4 linked regions of the Sus scrofa genome follow. The protein of the gene in region 4 purifies or fractionates together with the protein of the main gene of each other region. This does not show direct contact. Links are inferred from orthologs where the notes say so. Each region holds a gene or a part of one and is shown on either strand. Other genes may lie near its edges.

Region 1 (4,543 bases), on a different chromosome or scaffold from region 4:
AGGTCTCGTTTTGGTTTCTTAGCAGTGGAGTAGAGTCAGCAACTTGGGGGGGGGGGGGAAGGCTGGTAAACCAATTGGTCCTAGTGATTTTGTTTGTTCTGACTGGCTGGTTTTGCTAACCTAATCAGTTTGATTATTTCAGTGTTTCTAGAAGTGGGGTTCTCTGGGGTCGATTTAGGTTCCCTCCTAGCAATGCATGCATACCATTCAGAGTCTGCCGGTTCTTGGAATACGGCATGTTATGCGGTGAAGACTTTAGGCTCTAGACTTGAACTGTCTTGAGTTTGGATACTTGTTGCATTTATTTACTGGCATGAACTATTTAATCTCTGCCATCATCTCTTGAGAGTTGCTGTGAAGATTAAATTGTGTCAAGTGCTTAAATCCGAATCTGCCTGCCATGTAGAAAACACAAACATGTTGGTTATTTGTGTCTTTTGTAGTGATTGTTCTGGAAGATACTGGCCCCCATGCCTTCTAGGGGTTTAGCATGTTGTGGGGAAAACAAGGGAACTAAATACTTAAAAGTGTTACAGTTTCAAAGAAAAGTAGGCAGGGTGCTGTAATGAAGGGGAGTGTGAGGGCGGAGAGCTATACCCTATCTTTCGGGAGGTCTGAGGATGGGCTATGTGAGACCTGAAACAGGAGCCCATCAGGAAGTGAGATGGTGAGAGTTCAACCAAGAGAACTGTGTGCAAAGGTGTGTGCAGGTCTGCAGGGTCTTGTCAGACATGGAGAAGAGTTTGGGTTGGAGTCCCAAGTGCAATATAAAGTTACCAAGTGCAGGTAAGGGTTTTAACAAGGGTCTCGTGTGATCTGACTTGTCTAGTATTTTCTTTGGCTGACTTTTCTGGAGGGCTGGCAGGTAAGAAAATTAGGAAGCCAGTTAAGCTGATGCCATCCAATTGAGGAATAAGTAGCTTAGGCCACCAGTGGTGGAGGGGGTGCAAAAAATGAGCAGACTCCTCAAATCCATCCAGAACTTGGTGGGCAAATAAATGGGCCATGTTGAGATAAAGACAAGGAATTTCGAAGGCAGCCCAAAGGCAGGACTGGGTGTGAGTGAAGGACCACAGAACTAGAGCTTACTTTCAGGGGTGCCGTGGATCGAGGCACAGTTTGTGGGTCAGTCACTCCCCCACACCACTACCACAAACTAAGCTCTATTAGGACAGGTACCCTTTTGTATATGGTCGCACCCCAGTGCTGCTGCAGTCGGATTTCCTTTCTTCCTTTCTCTCTCTCTCCCCCTCCTTTCTTTCTCTTTTTCATTTTAGGGCCTCACCTGCAGCATATGAACATTTGGAGGTTCCTACCTGGGCTAGGGGTTGAATCAGAGCTGCAGCTGCTGGCCTACATCACAGCCAGAGCGACGCCAGAGCCAAGCCTATGGGACTTACGCTGCAGCTTAGCGCACGGCAATGCCGCATCATTAACCCACTGAGTGAGGCCAGCGATCTAACCAGCATCCTCATAGGTACTAGTTGAGCTCTTAACCCACTGAGCCACAACAGGAATTCCCTGCAGTCAAATTCTTAACCTACTGCACCACAGTGGGAACTCTCTGCCTTTTTGCTCCTCAGTGTGTTACCGGTGCCTAGCGTGGAGGGCAAAGTTAAGCAGGAGCTCAGATATTTGTTAATGTTGCTTTCTTAAAAGGCGAAATGTGCATGATAATGTGAGAAAATAAAATGTATACATGTATGTGTAACTGGGTCACCATGCTGTACAGTAGAAAAAAAAAATTGCATCAGGGAAATAATTTTTAAAAAATTTAAATGGAGTTCCCATTGTGGCACAGCAGAAGCGAATCCGACTAGGAACCATGAGGTTGTGGATTTGATCCCTGGCCTTGCTCAGTGGGTTAACAATCCAGCATTGCCGTGAGCTGTGGTGTAGGTGGCAGACGCGGTTCAGATCTGGCATTGCTGCTGCTCTGGCACAGACCAGCAGCTGCAGCTCTGATTAGACCCCTAGCTCAGGCAGGTGCAGCCCTTAAAAAAAAAAAAAAAAAAAAAGGACAAAAAAAAGGAGGGGGAAATGTCCCCAACACACACGCCCAGTCTAGACTAGGTGCCCCACTTCGGCCTTCCTTCCACTCCGCTTTGTGTCCAGCGCAGAGACGTCTCATCTCCAATGGGCTTGGCATATAATAGGTGCTCAGCAAAGATCGATTGGGTTTCGCCACAGCGATTTATCGTGCAAAAAAGGCAACCACTAGGGGGCGAGCTGGCACCACCAGAGCGCCCTGCGGGACGCACTACCTTTCCCAGCGCGCAGGGTGGGGCTCCGCGGGAGGCGTTGACGATGCTCGCAGCTCTCGCTCCTCCCCTAGCGCTGCTCGAGAGAGGGGTGGGGCTTGACTGCCGAGTGCGGGCGGAAACTGCCGAGAGTCCTCAGGGCTCCGACTCTGCGCTCCGTCGGCCCCGCGGAGGGGCGGAAGTAACCGAGAAGCGCCGGAAGTTTCCGATCCTGTGCGTTCCCGGGTGGCCTGCGGCGCCAGTTGCCATGGAGCCGGCCGGGCCCTGTGGTATCTGCCCGGCCGGGGAGGCCCAGCCGGCGCGCTACACCTGCCCTCGCTGTAATGTGCCCTACTGCTCGCTGCGCTGCTACCGGGCGCATGGCACCTGCGCTGAAGACTTCTACCGTGACCAGGTGCTGGGAGAGCTGCGCGGCCGCAGCGCCTCACCCAGCCGCCTGGCCAGCGCCCTGCGCCGGCTGCGTCAGCAACGCGAGACCGAGGATGAGCCCGAGGACGCAGGCCTCAGGCCTGGCCCGGCGCCCGGCGGCCTCTCAGGACTCTGGGAGCGGCTGGCCCCGGCCGAGAAGGCGGCTTTCGAGCGGCTGCTGAGCCGGGGCGAGGCCGGGCGGCTGCTGCCCCCGTGGCGGCCGTGGTGGTGGGGTCGTGGGGCCGGGCCGAGGCTTCTGGAGGAACTGGGTGATGCTCCGGGCCGTGACGCCGATGAGCTGGAGCCTGCCCCCGCGGGGTCGCCGCCGGAACCCGTCAAGGATGAGCCCGCGGCCGCCGGGCCGACTCCCGGAGACGCCCCCGGGGTCTGCGCGCCCGCCGTGCCCACCCGGATCCCCACACTGGCCAGCCTGAGCAGGGGCCGCGCGTCGCCGCTCGTGCGCTTCCAGCTGCCCAATGTGCTGTTCGCCTACGCACACACTCTGGCCCTGTATCACGGCGGCGACGAGGCGCTGCTCTCCGACTTCTGTGCCACGCTGCTCGGCGTTTCTGGAGCCCTGGGCGCCCAGCAAGTCTTCACCTCTGCCGAGGAAGCCCTGCAGGCCGCAGCCCATGTGCTGGAAGCAGGCGAGCATCCGCCCGGGCCCCTGGGCACACGGGGTGCCATGCGAGAAGCCGCCCGCATCTTGCTGGGTGAGGGCCCGGCCAACCAGAAAGGCTACACGCTGGCAGCCCTGGGGGACCTGGCTCAGACCCTGGGCCGGGCCCGGAAACAAGCCGTGGCCACCGAAGAGCGAGATCGCCTCTACCGGGCCCGAAAGAAGTGCCAGTTCCTGCTGGCTTGGACGAACGAAAATGAAGTGGCCCTCACACCGTTGGCTCTAGACTGTGCCAGGGCACACCGAGCCCACGCTGTCGCAGCCGAGGAGGTGGCAGCCCTCACTGGGGAGCTGGAGCAGCTTTGGGGAGGCCCCTTGCCACCTGCCCCCAGGACTCTCATTGAGGAGCTCCCGGGCTGAACTGGAGACACTCTGTCATTAATAAAACTGCGACTGGTCTGCCCTGTCACAGGTGCCCATTTCTGAGTGACAGCTGTTGTCCCAGCCACCCCCAGACTACCTCTCAGCTTCTCCCAGATCAGAGCTGACCCAGCTATTTCTTAAACAGCCTGGCCCCAGAAAGGAAGAGAAGCACCACCAAGGGTTCCAGATGTTTATCCAAGGGGGAAGAGCAGCCCCTCCACTCCGTTTTTGAGCATGGGCTTCATCTTGCCCTTGCTCCAACCCCCTGTCTGAGGCAGTTCACCGCTGCCTGTTGGAGCTCAGGGTGGGGTAGGGTGCCGGCCCTAAAGTCCCAGGCATGTCCAGGCCCCTGGTGCTGGGTGTGCTGGCAGATGGGCCTGCCTGCATATGCCCGGCCTGGGGTGCGTGGAGCTACTTCAGTAGACATAGGGCATGATTCGGTAGGGCACCCGCCGGCAGTATTCGTGCCAGGCCAAGCCATACTTCTGTAGACACTGCTGCTCATCGCGGGCCTCCCGGTGCACCAGCAGCGCAGTGAAGTAGAGGAGGTAGAAGTAGGGCAACAGGTGGGACACCCCTGGGGGGAGAGGGGTCTCTGACCACTCAGCCAGCCCCCCAGATCACAAAGGTTTCCACAGTTCATGGCTCACAGGGGCATCAGGGCTCAGTGGTGACAGGTCCAAGGGCTGCGGGGGTTGCTGATGACGCTAGGCTGTCACTGAGGTCTGCCACGCCAAGTCCATCCCCAGCCCCAACTACTCCCTCCATTCCACACCCCTCTCGGGCATCCTGTGGTACCCCTCTGCCTCTGCCCCACACATGCCTGCGGCCC
Region 2 (4,591 bases), on a different chromosome or scaffold from region 4:
ACTGGTAGACAATAGCATTGTTAGGAGAGGGAACAAAAACAAAACAAGGCTGTCAATTAAGAGCCTATTCAATAGTCAAGGTGAGGGGTGAGGAGGTGGAATGTAGATGAGAGAAAAGTTGCTAAGAGATCTGCAGTACTTGGGACCTGGGGCTCATGGAGGGGCAGAGAAATGAATCAATCAGTTCCAAGACTTCTGGTCTATGGCACTTGTGAGGATGGAGGAAGCAGCCAAGGGCAGAAATTTTTTTTTTTAAATATACGACTTTTTTTTTTTTTTGCTTTTTAGGGCGATATTTGCCGCATATGGAAGTTCCCAGGCTAGGGGTCTAATTGGAGTTACAGCTGCCGGCCTACACCACACCCACAGCAAAGCAGGATCTGAGCAGTCTCTGAGACCTATACCATCGCTCATCATAGCTCATGGCAACCCCCATCCCCGACCCACTGAGCGAGGCCAGGGATTGAACCCACATCCTTCAGGGATACTGCTCAAATTGTTTCCTCTGCCCCCAACAGGAACTTCCAAAGGCAGAAACTGGGTCATAGGTAGCTATTTGTGAGGTATAAGAATGGGATGGAAAGATGCTGAGCTGAGTTGGGCTGCACTGACTGAATTGTCAGCGCTGCAACAGGCGGAGATATGGAGCAAAGCAATTGGAAAACCGGCAGTGCATGGGGGAGAAGGCAAAGATTAAATAAGACCGGGTAGTCATCTGATTAGAATCAAGAAGAGGGGAGAGCTGTTGGTAAGGAGGCAGGCCTGGAGTATAGGCCTACAGAAAAAGGGGAGGAAAATGTCTTTTTTGGTTTTTTGTCTTTTAGGGCCTCACCCACGGCATATGGAGGTTCCCAGGCTAGGGGTCCAATTAGAGTTACAGCCGCCAGCCTAGGCCACAGTTACAGCAACGCGGAATCCGAGCCCCATCTGCGACCTACACCACAGCTCACTGCAACGACAGATTCTTAAAGCACTAAGCGAGGCCAGGGATCGAACCTGCAACCTCATAGTTCCTAGTCACACTCCTTTCCGCTGCGCCACAATGGGAACTTCTTTCTTTCTTTCGGGACGGAAAAGAGGCCAAGTAAAGGCAATTACTTAGGTGACGACCTCGCAACTTTTCGGTAGGTAGTCGGTAGGGCAGAGGTCAGACTGAGAAGTGAGCAGTGTGAGGGAAAGGCAGTCTCACGTGAAAAGAAGGCATAAGGACTTCAGGAGAGAAGGTTGGGGACATCGGGTGCTACTGTCTGGAGACCTACTGGCCCCGATCTCAGGCTACAATTCCTCAGCACACAGATGTTGGCGTTTTCTCGTCATAACGTGACACACTGCAAGTACAGGGCTAATCTCAGAGACTGCCACTTCTGAGGGTGCCGACTGTAACTTCGTAATAATAATAATGAATAAGAAATAAGGAAGCGGGTTCCTAGGAAGCAGAAGCTGCAGGGCGCAGCAGCAGGACACTGGGACGCTCCCCTTTCCCCACCCCTTGCTGGGATGGTCTGCGCAAGCGCGCAGGAAGTGCTGGCGGAAGTGGTGTAGGAGCGCTTTAGGGAAGGGACCGGCGGAGTAAACAGATATCCTGTCGACGCCTGAGGACGGTGTTGGTGGGTGCAGGCCACCATGAACCGCCTCCAAGGTGACTACGACCCCTACGCAGTTGAAGAACCTAGCGACGAGGAACCGGCTTTGAGCAGGTGGGCCCCTGCCCCGCCCCGGCCCTCGAGGCTTCGACCCCCCCCCCTCAGTGCGCTTGCCGGGCAGGTGCAGACGCTCGGCCCGGCGGTTCGGACGCCCGTCGCTCCCTGCTGTCACCAGTGGGACGCCGAGGGGGTTCTGGTGTGTTCGCGCAGCCACCGGGGAGGCGGGGCCGACACACGCGCGGGGAAGGGGCGTATTCTGGAATTATGCGTAAGATTCAAAAGCTGTGAGATGGAATCTTGCTTCTGCATCTTACTAGCACTGTGACCGAAGGAAAGCACTTATCTTCGATTTCTCATCCATAAAAAGGAAGTATAGTAAGTATATCAGAGATATGTTAAGCTCACGGGACTTACTGTGAAGTGACCATCATGAAGAATAAACTGCTGTAAACAGAAATAAGGGAATATTTAACTTTTTTTTTGAGCATCTAATATATGCTTGGTTTGGGCGACATAGGTCAATCATAAGATTTTTTGTCTTCTATAGGCCTACGGTAAAGTAGGGGAAATAAGATACTTATTTTGGAAGATGTATGCTTGGGAAATAAATGTGTTTCTCCAAGAGTACTGTAGGAAAAGATGACCTCGGATAGTCACAGATTAAGTACCGTGGGAATTTCCAGGAGGGAGGGGTTAATCTTGTCTGGGGGAAATTTGCAGTTATGTTGACGAGAGATTTCCAGGCACTTTTAGCCATTTTTTAAAACTGTCAGAAGATCTTGTTCATAAACCTTATTATTTTTTACTTTTTAGGGCCGAACCTGCGGCATATGGAGGTTCCCAGACTAGGGGTCCAGTCGGAGCTACAGCTGCTGGCCCACGCTACAGCAACGCAGAATCTGAGCCTGTCTTCGAGCGACCTACACCACAGCTCGCGGCAACACCAGATCATTAACCCACTGAGCAAGGCTAGGGATCGAATATGAAACCTCATGGTTCCTAGTCGGGTTTGTTTCCGCCATGCCACAACTGGAACTCTCATTCATTAACTTTAAGACATTCTGTGGGACTAAGCTTTCCGTGAAACTGCCTTTCCTTTAGTTGCAGTGTTTACTTATGTTACCCTGTGGAGGGGTTAGAGGTATGGGAGGTTGAGCTGCTGTGAAGATTTCTGTTGTGGGGAGTGAGGATGGAGTCCAAGAATCAGGAGTTCCCATCATGGCTCAGTGGAAACGAATCCAACTAGGAACCATGGGGTTGAGGGTTCGATCCTTGGCCTCCCTCCGTGGGTTGTGGATCTAGTGCTGCCGTGAGCTGTGGTGTAGGTTGAAGACCTGGCTGGGATCTGATGTTGCTGTGGCTCTGGTGTAGGCTGGCGGCTACAGTTCTGATTAGACCCTAGCCTCGGAACCTCCATATGCTGTGGGTGTGGTCCTAAAGAGACAAAAAGACAAAAAAAAAAAAGAATTTCTTTCAGTTAATTTCACAGCCCAGTCTGTGAAAGGAGGCATATGAGGGCATCAATAAGTAATTCAGTTTGATAGCCATATAACAGTGTTTCCTGAACTTGAGTTATTCTGCCCTTGCCATCTCCATACTCATCCCTGTTATTATTTATTTTTTTCTTAAAGTCAGTTTACTTTTTTTGTGTGTTAAATTGTTTTTTTTTTTTTTTTGCTTTTTAGGGCTGCACCTGTGGCATATGGAAGTTCCCAGGCTAGGAGTTGAATCAGAGCTACAGCTGCCGGCCTATTGCCACAGCCACAGCAATGAGGGATCTGTGCTGCATCTGTGATCTGTACCACAGCTCATGGCAGTGCCAGATCCCTGACCCACTGAACGATGCCAGGGATTGAACCCGAATCCTTGTGGATACTAGTTGGCTTGTTTCCACTGCACTACAACAGGAACTCTGGTGTTAATTTTTTTTAAATTCACAAATTACGACTTAAAAAAGTTTTATGATTGCACCTGTTGCATATGAAAGTTCCGGGGCCAGGGATTGAATGCAAGATATAGCTGTGGCCACGCTGTCAGATTCTTTAACCCACTGTGACGGGCTGGGGATCGAACCCATCCCTCTGCAACCACCCAAGTCAGATTCTTAATCCACTGCACCACAGTGGGAACTCTCAGTTTACATTTTGTAGTTAAATTTCTTTTTAGGGCCACACCTGCAGCAAATGGATGTTCCCAGGCTAGGGGTCAAATCAGAGCTGTAGCTGGGGTCTCTGCCATAGCCACAGCAACACCAGTTCTGAGCCACATCTTCAACCTATGCCACAGCTTGTGGCAATGCCAGATTCTTAACCCATTGAGCCAGGGCAGGGATTGAACCCATATCCTCATGGATACCCATCTGTTTAGTAACCTGCTGAGCCACAACAGGAACTCCTGTAGTTAAATTTCTTTAAGGATGCTTTATATTCCCCTGACAGTTGCCGCTGGTAAGGTAATTGCTAACTGTAAAAATAAATACTGTGGAAACAAAACCGTGTTATTAGGCACTATTGCCCTACTCAGGGCTCTGAAATGAATGCTTGTTTTAAGAAGCGAGATTGTGTTAGAGGTGTTTAAGAGATGTCTATCAGGATTTGATTTTACCCTGCTTATAAGTGAATCTTTTATAGCCTGTTACTGTTTCACGGAAACCAGCAGAACATATGAGACTTCTGAGTTGGAGAGAACTCATAGCGTAGCAAGAAGCATGAGCATCATGTTTGTGTTAGTCACTCTTACTTCCCAACTCTTGTACGTGGAGAGGCCCAGATGGGTGCTACACATTCATTGGGTTGGTATCATGGTTTAGGACCATTTGCGCTTGGAGAATCTACCTCTTTTACAGCAGGTGGTGAATAAGCCACTAGATGCCAGTAGCTCCTCTCGCCTCCCAATTAAGACAATCAAATACATCTCTGACTGCACTGGGAACTATATCTGGTCACTTG
Region 3 (4,807 bases), on a different chromosome or scaffold from region 4:
CAGGTGTATAAAAGGAGCCATATTTGAGGAGTAATAACATGAGGATTTGAGCTTTAGTGCCTGACTGAATAGAGTGAAGTGAGTAGTTGAGTATGATTTTGAATTACTAATGAGCTTGACAGCTACATGGATAGCAATGCCATTAAGCAAGATAAGAACACCCTGTAAAAATAATTTTCTAGAAAAAAATATAAGGAATTGGCTTTGGATGTGCAGTGCTAATGTGACAATATTCTTGCCAATAAATATCACGTGTTTCTGTGAATAGGAGTTCAATAAAATTAACAGCAGGGAAGACATCCAGCAACTGCTAACCAAAAAATAAGCAGATATGCACTAAATTAAGAGCCAGAAGGACGGTATCATAAGACGTCAGATCTGAAACAAGACCCTACATAAGTCGCTGCATGAGTAGAGCCTTGGTCACCTCTCCATAATTCATTTTTAGTGAAGTTATAAGAAATGACAGGGCAAAATGCCCTACTGGGCCAGAGGTCAGATCTCAAGCACTGACAACACAGGAAATCAGTGAAGGAAACTCAAAATACTTCTGAGTGGGCCGATAATGGTCATTTAGTTCAATTATTTCTCTTTAGCAGCCAGGCAGAGCCACTCTAATTTTTTTAAACTTTTAAAAAATGTTTATTTATTTATTTATTTATTTTCTTTTTTGGACTCCCAGCAGCATATGGAGTTCTTGGACCTGGGATCAGATGTGAGCCACAGCTGTGACCTATGCCACAGCTTCAGCAGCAGCACTTCCCCACTGTGCCAGGCTGGGCACTGAAACTTCGCCCCACCACTCCAGAAACACCACCAATCCCATTGTGCCACAGTGGTAAATCCCAGGCAGAGCCACTCTTAGATCCTCACTAAAATAACTACGTGAAACAAGGCAACCTAATACACACACTGTTAAGACTGAGGAATACAGAGTAACAGCTAAAAGAACTATGGTTAAGGAAGACACATGCTTGAACCTGTTTAGTATAGGTACCTAGATACATTATGGCATAATTAAGTAATTAAATTTCAAACGAAGAACCATGGCTAATTAATATTGAGTATATATTAGTTCCTAAGGTAATGACTATTAATTTTCATCAATATTAATTTTAAAAAGTTTTTTTTTTTTTAAGTTCAAGGGCTTAACTGAATATAGGCAAATATCACTAATCTAAAAAGTTCAGGCTCTAAATCTCCTGACAACACTGAATGAAATATGAATATCATACATCACTGTTGTTAGAATGACATTAAAAAATCACACATATCCAATCAAAATAAGTGAAAGAGCCTCACCTTTCCCAGGTTTATATTTGAGATTGAAAGGCTGATTCTGCCAGATATAGGGGACCAGCATAGGTGCAAACTGGGTCATTATCTTCTCAATATAATTTTGAAGAATCTCTCTGTGTTTTTCTGGGTCCCTTAGTTCATCCGATATCAGGAACAGGCGGTACTCTACAGTATCTTCCACTGTAGCAAGCTTCATATTTTCCTCCATTCTTCTTTGAAAGCTACATTTAAAGTGGCAATAATATAAACCATACAAAATAATGCAGAAGTAATATCCCATTCCTTGAACTATTCTAGGCAATTCCATTAATGTTGTTTTCCAAAATTCAGTTATCCACATACAATCATCATGATTTTTGCCTTGACCACATACCAATTATAGCATTTAATTAAAATTCTTTCAATGACATTTTTATACTTACAATTATATGAAAGCAACTTTTGATACAATACAGTAAATGGAAATCTAGTACTGCATTCCCAAGTTAATAAGCGTGTAAAAATGAAATAAAAAATGTTTGCCTTTGCACTAATAGTGGTGCATGTAACACACGGTCAGAAACAATGCAATAACATCTCTTGAAATATTGACAAAAATTCCAGTTCTGCCACTGGTCCTAGTTGTGTCATTCTGGGCATTTCATTTTCTCTTTCTGGGGCTTCCCCCTAATTGTAGAATGAGAATGTTATTTTATCATTTCTAAAATCCGTCTCTACTTTCCTCCCTTCATCCTCTTCTCCCTCTCTTTCTCTCTCTTTACTTTCTTTCTTTCTTTCTTTTCGTTCGTTCGTTCTTCCTTTCTTTCCTGCCATGCCTGTAGCATGCATAAGTTCTCAGGCCAGTGACTGAACCCATGACACAGCTGTATTTAACCTCCTGAGCCACCAGGGAACTTCTTCCCTGAATTTTTATTGTTTAAACACTCTTAAGAGTAATCTCCCTTACTCTGCAGAATTTAAATCTTTCCCCTTGTACATCATGGGTGAATTCAAAACTACAAAACATTTATATCCTATCATTTCACCCCAAAATAATCTGCCCATGGCTCTTGATCCTACAACAACCCGTCCCAAACCACCGCCCTCCGCCCCTTTTCAGGTCTCAGAGGGTATAAATAACTGTTTTCTAAGGATTTCCCTTACAGACAAAAGTACTAGCTTACTATTGCTGCCAGGTGAGGCTTGTTAAAGAAAGATATTGCACTGGATGGTCCACTTTAAGGCTGTGATTCGATTTTCAGGCTTATTTGGTTTTCCAAGGAACTAATAAAACTAAGTCGAGAGGAACTTGCATCTTCTATCCAGACACTCACTACAGTCCAGATTGACAGATAATAAATACTCACCCACCCCAGAATGCCAAGCACACCTTATTATGAAGAATTTAGTGTCAGGCTAGAAGGGACTTTGAGATCACTCAGACTGACTCCACACTGTACATATGAGGAAACCGGGAGCACGGCAGGAGAAGCAACCAAGCAGCTGAGGCCGGACTAGGTTCTAGCGCTCTTTACTCAAAACAAGGGTCCCTTCTTCATCCAACAAAATGAAGCCAATTTCGCTTCCAGTTCTAAAGCCTGGGCCTCTTCCTCACGTCCCTGCTGCGGCACCTTTCCTCAGCCTTCTCTCCTACCTCGTGGGCTGCCAGCAGCAGCCAAAGCCCGGCTCTGACTGGATCCACACGCTTGTCTAGGACCTGAAGCCAGCGGAAACTTAAGTCAGAAACCGGCTCAGCTCCGGAACTCCCAGCGTCGCCTTTGCTAGGTGTCGGCGGGAGTATTAGGCGGCTGCACCTGTGCGTTCGTCACTTCCGCCCCCACGGGGAAACAGGGAGGGGAGAGGACTGGAGAGGTGGGGATCCTGGGGTGGTGGCGGTCCGGAGTCTAGGAGACGGGGCGTGACGGGGCCGGAAGGTGGCGGGAGGGGGCCGAGCCGGAGCTGGCGGGAGGGCCAGGCCCGGAGGCCCCCACCCTGGCTTGGCCGCCCCGGCCGCGGCTGAGGAGGAAGAGGAGGATGATCTCCAGATACACACGGAAGGCGGTGCCTCAGAACTTGGAGCTGTGAGTGGACTGCTCAGCCACCCAGCTGGGGCCGGGGGAAGCCGTGGCGGGCCGCAGGCGCTCTGGGGACCCTCCTTGACCAGTCCCTTGCTCCTTTTTCTTTCCCAGGGCGAGGGAAAGAAAAAATTCTTTGAAATTTTCTCCTCCTAGCCTTGCCGGACGTTGCCCCTCCAGACCTCCATCTCCAGCTAAGAGCGTGTTACCAGTGCAATCCCAGGACTTGACCCTCTTGGGCTGCACTCCCGGGGCTCAGGAACTGGGTTTCCTAAGGCATTTGTAGTTTCCGTTGTGTTCCATGCCCCACTTTCCATGGCCACTAACAACTCGTGAAGTTATTAATAACTGAGTCCTACAATAAAGTTGAATACGTCTAAAGCCAAACACCCTGCGAAGCGCTTACATGCATTAGCTTACTTAATCCTATCAATAAGGATACCAGATAGGAACTCTTATTTTGTACTTCCTACAAGATAAAGATCCCAGATCTGAAGGTTGTATCGTGCCAAAGATCACACAGCTAGGTGGTGATGGAGCTGAAGTATAGACCCGTTATCAGTCTGATTCTGAAGTTTGTGGTCATAACCATTACATACTGTCTCCCCACCTCTGCGTTGAAGAGTCAGAATCCTCAGGATCAGGTTTGCTTTTGAGACTTTAGAGAACAGATATTTCCAGCTTGAACAACTTAGTGAAGTGTTGTAATTTAGGAAGTAATGATAATGTCATACATTTATTAATGCTTTACACTTTCAGAAACTTTCACATCTTAATCTTTAAGATGGATATGACCATCTTCAATTTTCAGCAGAGGAAGTATCAGAAAGGTACACATCTTAAGATTATATAACCAATAGGTTTTTGAGCTTGGGCTTTTTAACCCCAAATCCCAGTTGTTGTTTTTCTCCACTAAGGTATGTAATTTTAGCAACCATACATTTATTAATTAAATATTAATTATATATGGTAATAACAGCTATGGTATTTTCAGTCACACCTGGGTTTCTGGTTAGACTCTTTTCTAGCCTTCTGAATTTTAGGCAAATTACTAATTTTTTGAGCCTTCATTTCTATAACATAGGAATAAGACTTTATCTAAAAGCATGTCTAAAATGATGGCATAGGGCTTGACATTTAATAGGGCCTCAATAAATGGTCATTTCCTTGTTCCTTCCCACCTTTATTTGGTGCAGTAGTCATACAAAGAAAATCAGTCTGTGATCTTTCCTTGCCTTTCAGAGGCTTATTATCTAAGTAATAGGACAGGACACAGAAGCAATTCAGATAATAAAGATTTTTAGGAACTAGGAAGAAGAAAGTCATTTCCCAATAAAGCAAATGTGGGTTAGCTAAAAATCTGCTTTTATAATTAATTCTGGCCATTCTGAAAGTGAAAAAAAATATCTTTCATCGAAAAAATTACTGATAGGCACTTACTGGGCCAGAATTAT
Region 4 (4,570 bases):
ATCTGGATGGACAGGCAACCTACCAGGTGGAATTTCTAAACTACCACCTAGAGCTTCTATGTCCACAGTTCAGTGCCCTGGAGTCTCAGAAGATAGCCCAGCTGGAATGAGGAGCTCTGAAAACAGACTGACCAAGCTCAGCATCTAAGAATGGGAATGGGAAGGGGTGGGGAGGGAGCTGATCCTCTTTATGCAGGAAATGGAACAGACACGCCAGGCTGTGAAGATTGACATGCATGGCTGTAACTGATGGAGGCCATCTCTGGTTAATCCTGCAGTTGCTCATTGTGATTAACCATGACTGCAGGGCCCGGTCTAGTCTATTACACACTAAGAGATGAATTTTGACTGAGACAGATTGGCATGTCCAGCTGTCACTGAGAAAGTGTGACAGACAAGCTAGGAAGCAGTAGCATGGGGACAAGAACAGCCAGTCAGAGCGTTGCATTCAAGCCCCACCACTCTCTGGCGGTGTAACTTCTGAGCCTCAGTTTTCTCTTCTGTACGTTTGGAATACTGTTTGCTTACTAGGGTTGTTCAAGGATTCGAAATCATATACCAAATGGTCTACCCTGTGCATTTTGGACTTAGCTAGCCAGCCCTCACAATTACATAAGCCAATTCCTTTCAATAAGTTCTTATACACCTCCTACTGGCTCTGCTTCTTTTGTTGAACTCTGATAGAACCACCCAGTACAGGGCTAGGCCCCAACATAAAAGTCACTAATTAATAAAGAATTATGGTCATTAATTAAATGCATAATATATGTATTGAGCTGGGTCTGTCTTTGTGCTAGTTTACAGGAAAACAAGGGTGAACAAGACAGGCTCCCTCCCTCAATGTGCATGTACAGCCTGACTGAGATAACACACTAGGCCTGCACTGCCAGAGGACACTGGGTGATTATGGCTGGAGGGACCAATGTAGTGACTACTGTGAGACTGGTTCTCTCTGGGCTGGGTTTCAGAAGTTCTCCCCTACAGCTGAGTATGGCTGGAAGCTGGGACCGTGATAACCGGCCAGCAGTGACACTGTCACTTGCATAGAGATTGGCTGACCAGGACCATGACTGAGCTCTGAGTGGCTACTGGGTAGCCATGACCTTGACCCCAAATTCAGAGACCTTGACTGATTGAGAACGAAAAACCATGTCTGGTGGAAGTGTTTCTGGAGCGGGATATAAAATGCATCGTTTGATGAATGTTATTATCCACAGTTCAGGAGCCAAAACCAGTAACTAAAAGTAGCGAAAGGCAACGTTTGATAAGGCGGAACCGGCAGCCACGGGCCATTCCTCCCGCGACCGAGGGATCCGCCCGGCTCCTTTCCGCGTTGCTCCCATCCGGCGCTAAAGCGGAAGAACTTCCGGTGGCTTCCGTGGTTTCTGAGCCGGGGGCAAGGTCCGAGTCTGTGAGTGCGGCCTCATGTCGTCTTTCAACTGCTCTGCTTTCGTTGTGTGTGGCTGGGCCGCTTCTCTTCCCGACTCGGGATCGGGGAGGGCCCTGAGCTAGGGCACCCAGCCGGGTCTGCGGCGTTCCTGTCTGTGGGCCGGTGGTGAGTCCCAACTGTCTCTGCGGGCCTTGCTCCCTGAGGAACCGGCGCTAGATAAACCGTCGCCCGGACTTCCTTGGGTACCCAGGGTAACTTGCTTTTTTCCTAACCTTAGGACTTGGGGGGCCTGGAAGCCTTGGCTCTGCTTGACTTGGTCCTGTCCTACTCTCTGTAACTTCGGATAAGATCTTTTTTCCAAACCAAGCCTTTGTTTCTCCTCTACAAAAAGCATATCATGCTTTTATTAAGTAAATGTTTACCAAGCGTCTAGTAAGTGCTAGACATAACAAAAAAACTTAAGTCTCCTGGAGGTGACAGCCCTTTATTAACATTTGCAGAATTGCTGCTCTGATAAGTGAAAGGACAGGGCACCATGAGAGTGTGTCATAGGAGACCTGACCTAGCCCCAGGTTAGGGAAACTTTGCTGAGAAGGTGACTGAGAAAGGTGATTTGAGAAAGAGGGAAGGGAAGAGTTTTCTATCCTCGGAAGCCTCCTGTTTGAAGGACTGAAAGGGGCCAGACTGAAGAGGAGTTGCCAGGGACCATGCCACGCAGGCCTTGAAGGTTTATGGTAAGAGTTTTGGTTTGCCAGGAGCCACATGGGGAGCTTATCAGAGAATGTTAAATGTGGGCGGTGACATGCTTAGATTGGCTCTTTGAGAAGGTCACTTCTGCTGTTGGAGAAGGGATTGGAGGAGCAGTCACTCTTTGGACAAGCCATATGGTAGCTTAGAGTAAGGAGGTGGTAGAAGTGGATGGATGTGACTTTCTGCATTCCAGGGCCTTTACTTAGTGCCAGGCCATGTGCCAGCTGCAGAAGACATAGTGAAGAGAACTACAGTTATGAAAATAGAATGAAAAGGAGTGTTGTTTTCAAGGAGGAGCACACAGATGCCACCAGCAAAGATAGTTAATTGATGAGCAATTATTCTAAATGCAATAACTGTTTATTATTATTATTATTATTTGTCTTTTTGCTATTTCTTGGGCCGCTCCTGCGCCATATGGAGATTCCCAGGCTAGGGGTCCAATCGGAGCTGTAGCCACTGGCCTACACCAGAGCCACAGCAACGCGGGATCCGAGCCGCGTCTGCGACCTACACCACAGCTCACGGCAACGCCGGATCGTTAACCCACTGAGCAAGGGCAGGGACCGAACCCGCAACCTTATGGTTCCTAGTCGGATTCATTAACCACTGTGCCACGACGGGAACTCCCAATAACTGTTTATTTAGCAAATATTTACTAAATACTTTCTGAATTCAATATTGGGAATAGGAAGATGAAGATAAATTATTCAGAGCAGTGGCTTTGAAACTTGACTGTGACCTACAGTAACAGATACATTTTATGTTGTGAGCAAGAGTCCATTACAAATACACAAAGCTTCAGAAAACAGTACTTAGCTTTACAACTTATAATGCACTCTGATTTTTAAAAATTCTGCCCTTTTATTTAAAAAGTTAATGCTTGTTGAGATCCTCTAAATTGATTTCTTAACCCAATAATGGATTATGACTTGCAGTTGAAAAAAAATGTGAGTTTAGAGTGAGAGTCATTCGTAGTGGTTTTTGGATTAAGACAATAAAATATGCCCTTAACATTTTTTGTTTTGTTTTGTTTTTGATTTTTTAGGGCTATACCCGCGCCATATGGAAGTTCCCAGGCTAGGGGTTGAATCGGAGCTACGGCTGTCGGCCTAGGCCACAGCAACATCAATGAGGGATGAGCACTGTCTATGATCTACACCACAACTCATGGCAATGCCAGATCCTCGATCCGCCTGAGCAAGGCCAGGGATTGAACCCACATCCTCATGGATACTAGTCCTTTCTTCTGTGCCACAAAGGGAATCCCCTGCACTTAACATTTTTGGAAAAGGGTTCTTTTCCTCACAGTTATTTTGTTTTGTTTGTTTAAAATGAATAAAAAGAATTAAACAGGCAGCTGATTCTTCTCTTTGTGAAGTTTTAGGGTCTTGTTTATATGTCTGGCTAGGTTGGAAGTTTCTAGATGGCAGTAACTTTTTACTTATTTTGCAAAAGCTTCTGTTGGTGCTCGGCGAAGATCCTGGCACAGTGCAGCCGCTCCAGGATTATTTATTGAATTGAATAGGTAGGTGTCTTGGGACTAGAAGGTTAGATAATGTTCTGTTTAGATTAGTTCATGTTGGAACAATTCTTATAAAGGTAGTGTCTGCTTACAGAAGTTTTATCACTGTGTCTTCATGGGTAGTTCAGAGGTAGATAACATAAATGTTCTCAGGTCTTTCTCTTCTAAATAGTGATTTGAGGCCAGTCAGGCTACCTGAATCCATTTTGGGTGAGTGGTCCAGAGCTGCCACTGACTGGACCCTTTGGGAAGTTGTTTCACTTCACTTTCACTATAGTTCACTCCCTGGACTTTAGGTTTTTATAAGTAAGAGGAGAAGGGGGTTGTGGTTGTGGTTGAAAACTTCTCCAGTACCCAAAACATTTGTGAATTTTAGTTACTAAGCACTCATTTTCCACCTTCTGTCCATTTCTGGGCTTTCCTTGGGGCTTATAGAAAACTGAGTGAGTAGATCTCAACTCTTCTGGGGACTTTCCAACAACAGGTTTTAGACAGGGTTCTAGTTTAAGACAGTTTAGGCAGAGTTATAAGAATGGACCATTCAGGCCTTCTCTGACTTCATCTTCTGTATGAGAAGGAGATCTGAGAGTAGATCCAGAGTGAATAGTGGAAAGAACATTGGCCTGGAGGGCAGGGTACCCAGATTCTAACTGGGTCCTTTTGTGAGCACGACACTTTCTGTAACATGTCTTTCTAGCTGTGAAGTGGGTGTTCGAAGTGAGTGTTCTTGCTCCTTAAACCAAGACACAAAAACCTTCTTCTCTTTGAGTCTCATTTTCTTCATCTGTAAAATGGTACAGGGTTGTGTTGAAGATTAAGGGCAAAAATTATGTCAGGGGTCTAATTCAATATCTGGCACATAGAGAATGCTCAGCAAGTGGAGCATCCTCCCCAGGTTCTGGTTA

What was found. Proteins that work in one complex are often made in the same cells at the same time.
Region 1: the proteins of AAR2 (region 4) and ZNHIT2 purify together in Homo sapiens (affinity purification with mass spectrometry; 3 studies listed by BioGRID and IntAct, counting the BioPlex papers as one, with this or other methods). This does not show direct contact. The link is inferred for Sus scrofa from reciprocal best matches to the Homo sapiens genes AAR2 and ZNHIT2.
Region 2: the proteins of AAR2 (region 4) and EAPP purify together in Homo sapiens (affinity purification with mass spectrometry; 4 studies listed by BioGRID and IntAct, counting the BioPlex papers as one, with this or other methods). This does not show direct contact. The link is inferred for Sus scrofa from reciprocal best matches to the Homo sapiens genes AAR2 and EAPP.
Region 3: the proteins of AAR2 (region 4) and ECD purify together in Homo sapiens (affinity purification with mass spectrometry; 3 studies listed by BioGRID and IntAct, counting the BioPlex papers as one, with this or other methods). This does not show direct contact. The link is inferred for Sus scrofa from reciprocal best matches to the Homo sapiens genes AAR2 and ECD.

What each region holds. Positions count from the first base shown.
Region 1 is NC_010444.4:7,072,891-7,077,433, forward strand, and holds ZNHIT2 (zinc finger HIT domain-containing protein 2), read left to right. Parts: upstream 1-1,766; 5' UTR 1,767-2,136; coding exon 2,137-3,708; 3' UTR 3,709-3,767; downstream 3,768-4,543. Other genes in the region: TM7SF2 (delta(14)-sterol reductase), read right to left, coding at 4,128-4,288. UniProt on the Homo sapiens protein: May act as a bridging factor mediating the interaction between the R2TP/Prefoldin-like (R2TP/PFDL) complex and U5 small nuclear ribonucleoprotein (U5 snRNP).
Region 2 is NC_010449.5:65,238,694-65,243,284, forward strand, and holds the start of EAPP (E2F-associated phosphoprotein), read left to right. Parts: upstream 1-1,515; 5' UTR 1,516-1,623; coding exon 1,624-1,697; intron 1,698-4,591. UniProt on the Homo sapiens protein: May play an important role in the fine-tuning of both major E2F1 activities, the regulation of the cell-cycle and the induction of apoptosis. Promotes S-phase entry, and inhibits p14(ARP) expression.
Region 3 is NC_010456.5:75,989,547-75,994,353, forward strand, and holds the start of ECD (protein ecdysoneless homolog), read right to left. Parts: upstream 3,077-4,807; 5' UTR 2,933-3,076; exon of another isoform or gene 2,646-2,932; intron 1,521-2,645; 5' UTR 1,508-1,520; coding exon 1,303-1,507; intron 1-1,302. Other genes in the region: protein FAM149B1, read left to right, coding at 3,313-3,359. UniProt on the Homo sapiens protein: Regulator of p53/TP53 stability and function. Inhibits MDM2-mediated degradation of p53/TP53 possibly by cooperating in part with TXNIP. May be involved transcriptional regulation. In vitro has intrinsic transactivation activity enhanced by EP300.
Region 4 is NC_010459.5:39,497,351-39,501,920, forward strand, and holds the start of AAR2 (protein AAR2 homolog), read left to right. Parts: upstream 1-1,348; 5' UTR 1,349-1,641; exon of another isoform or gene 1,642-2,124; intron 2,125-4,570. UniProt on the Homo sapiens protein: Component of the U5 snRNP complex that is required for spliceosome assembly and for pre-mRNA splicing.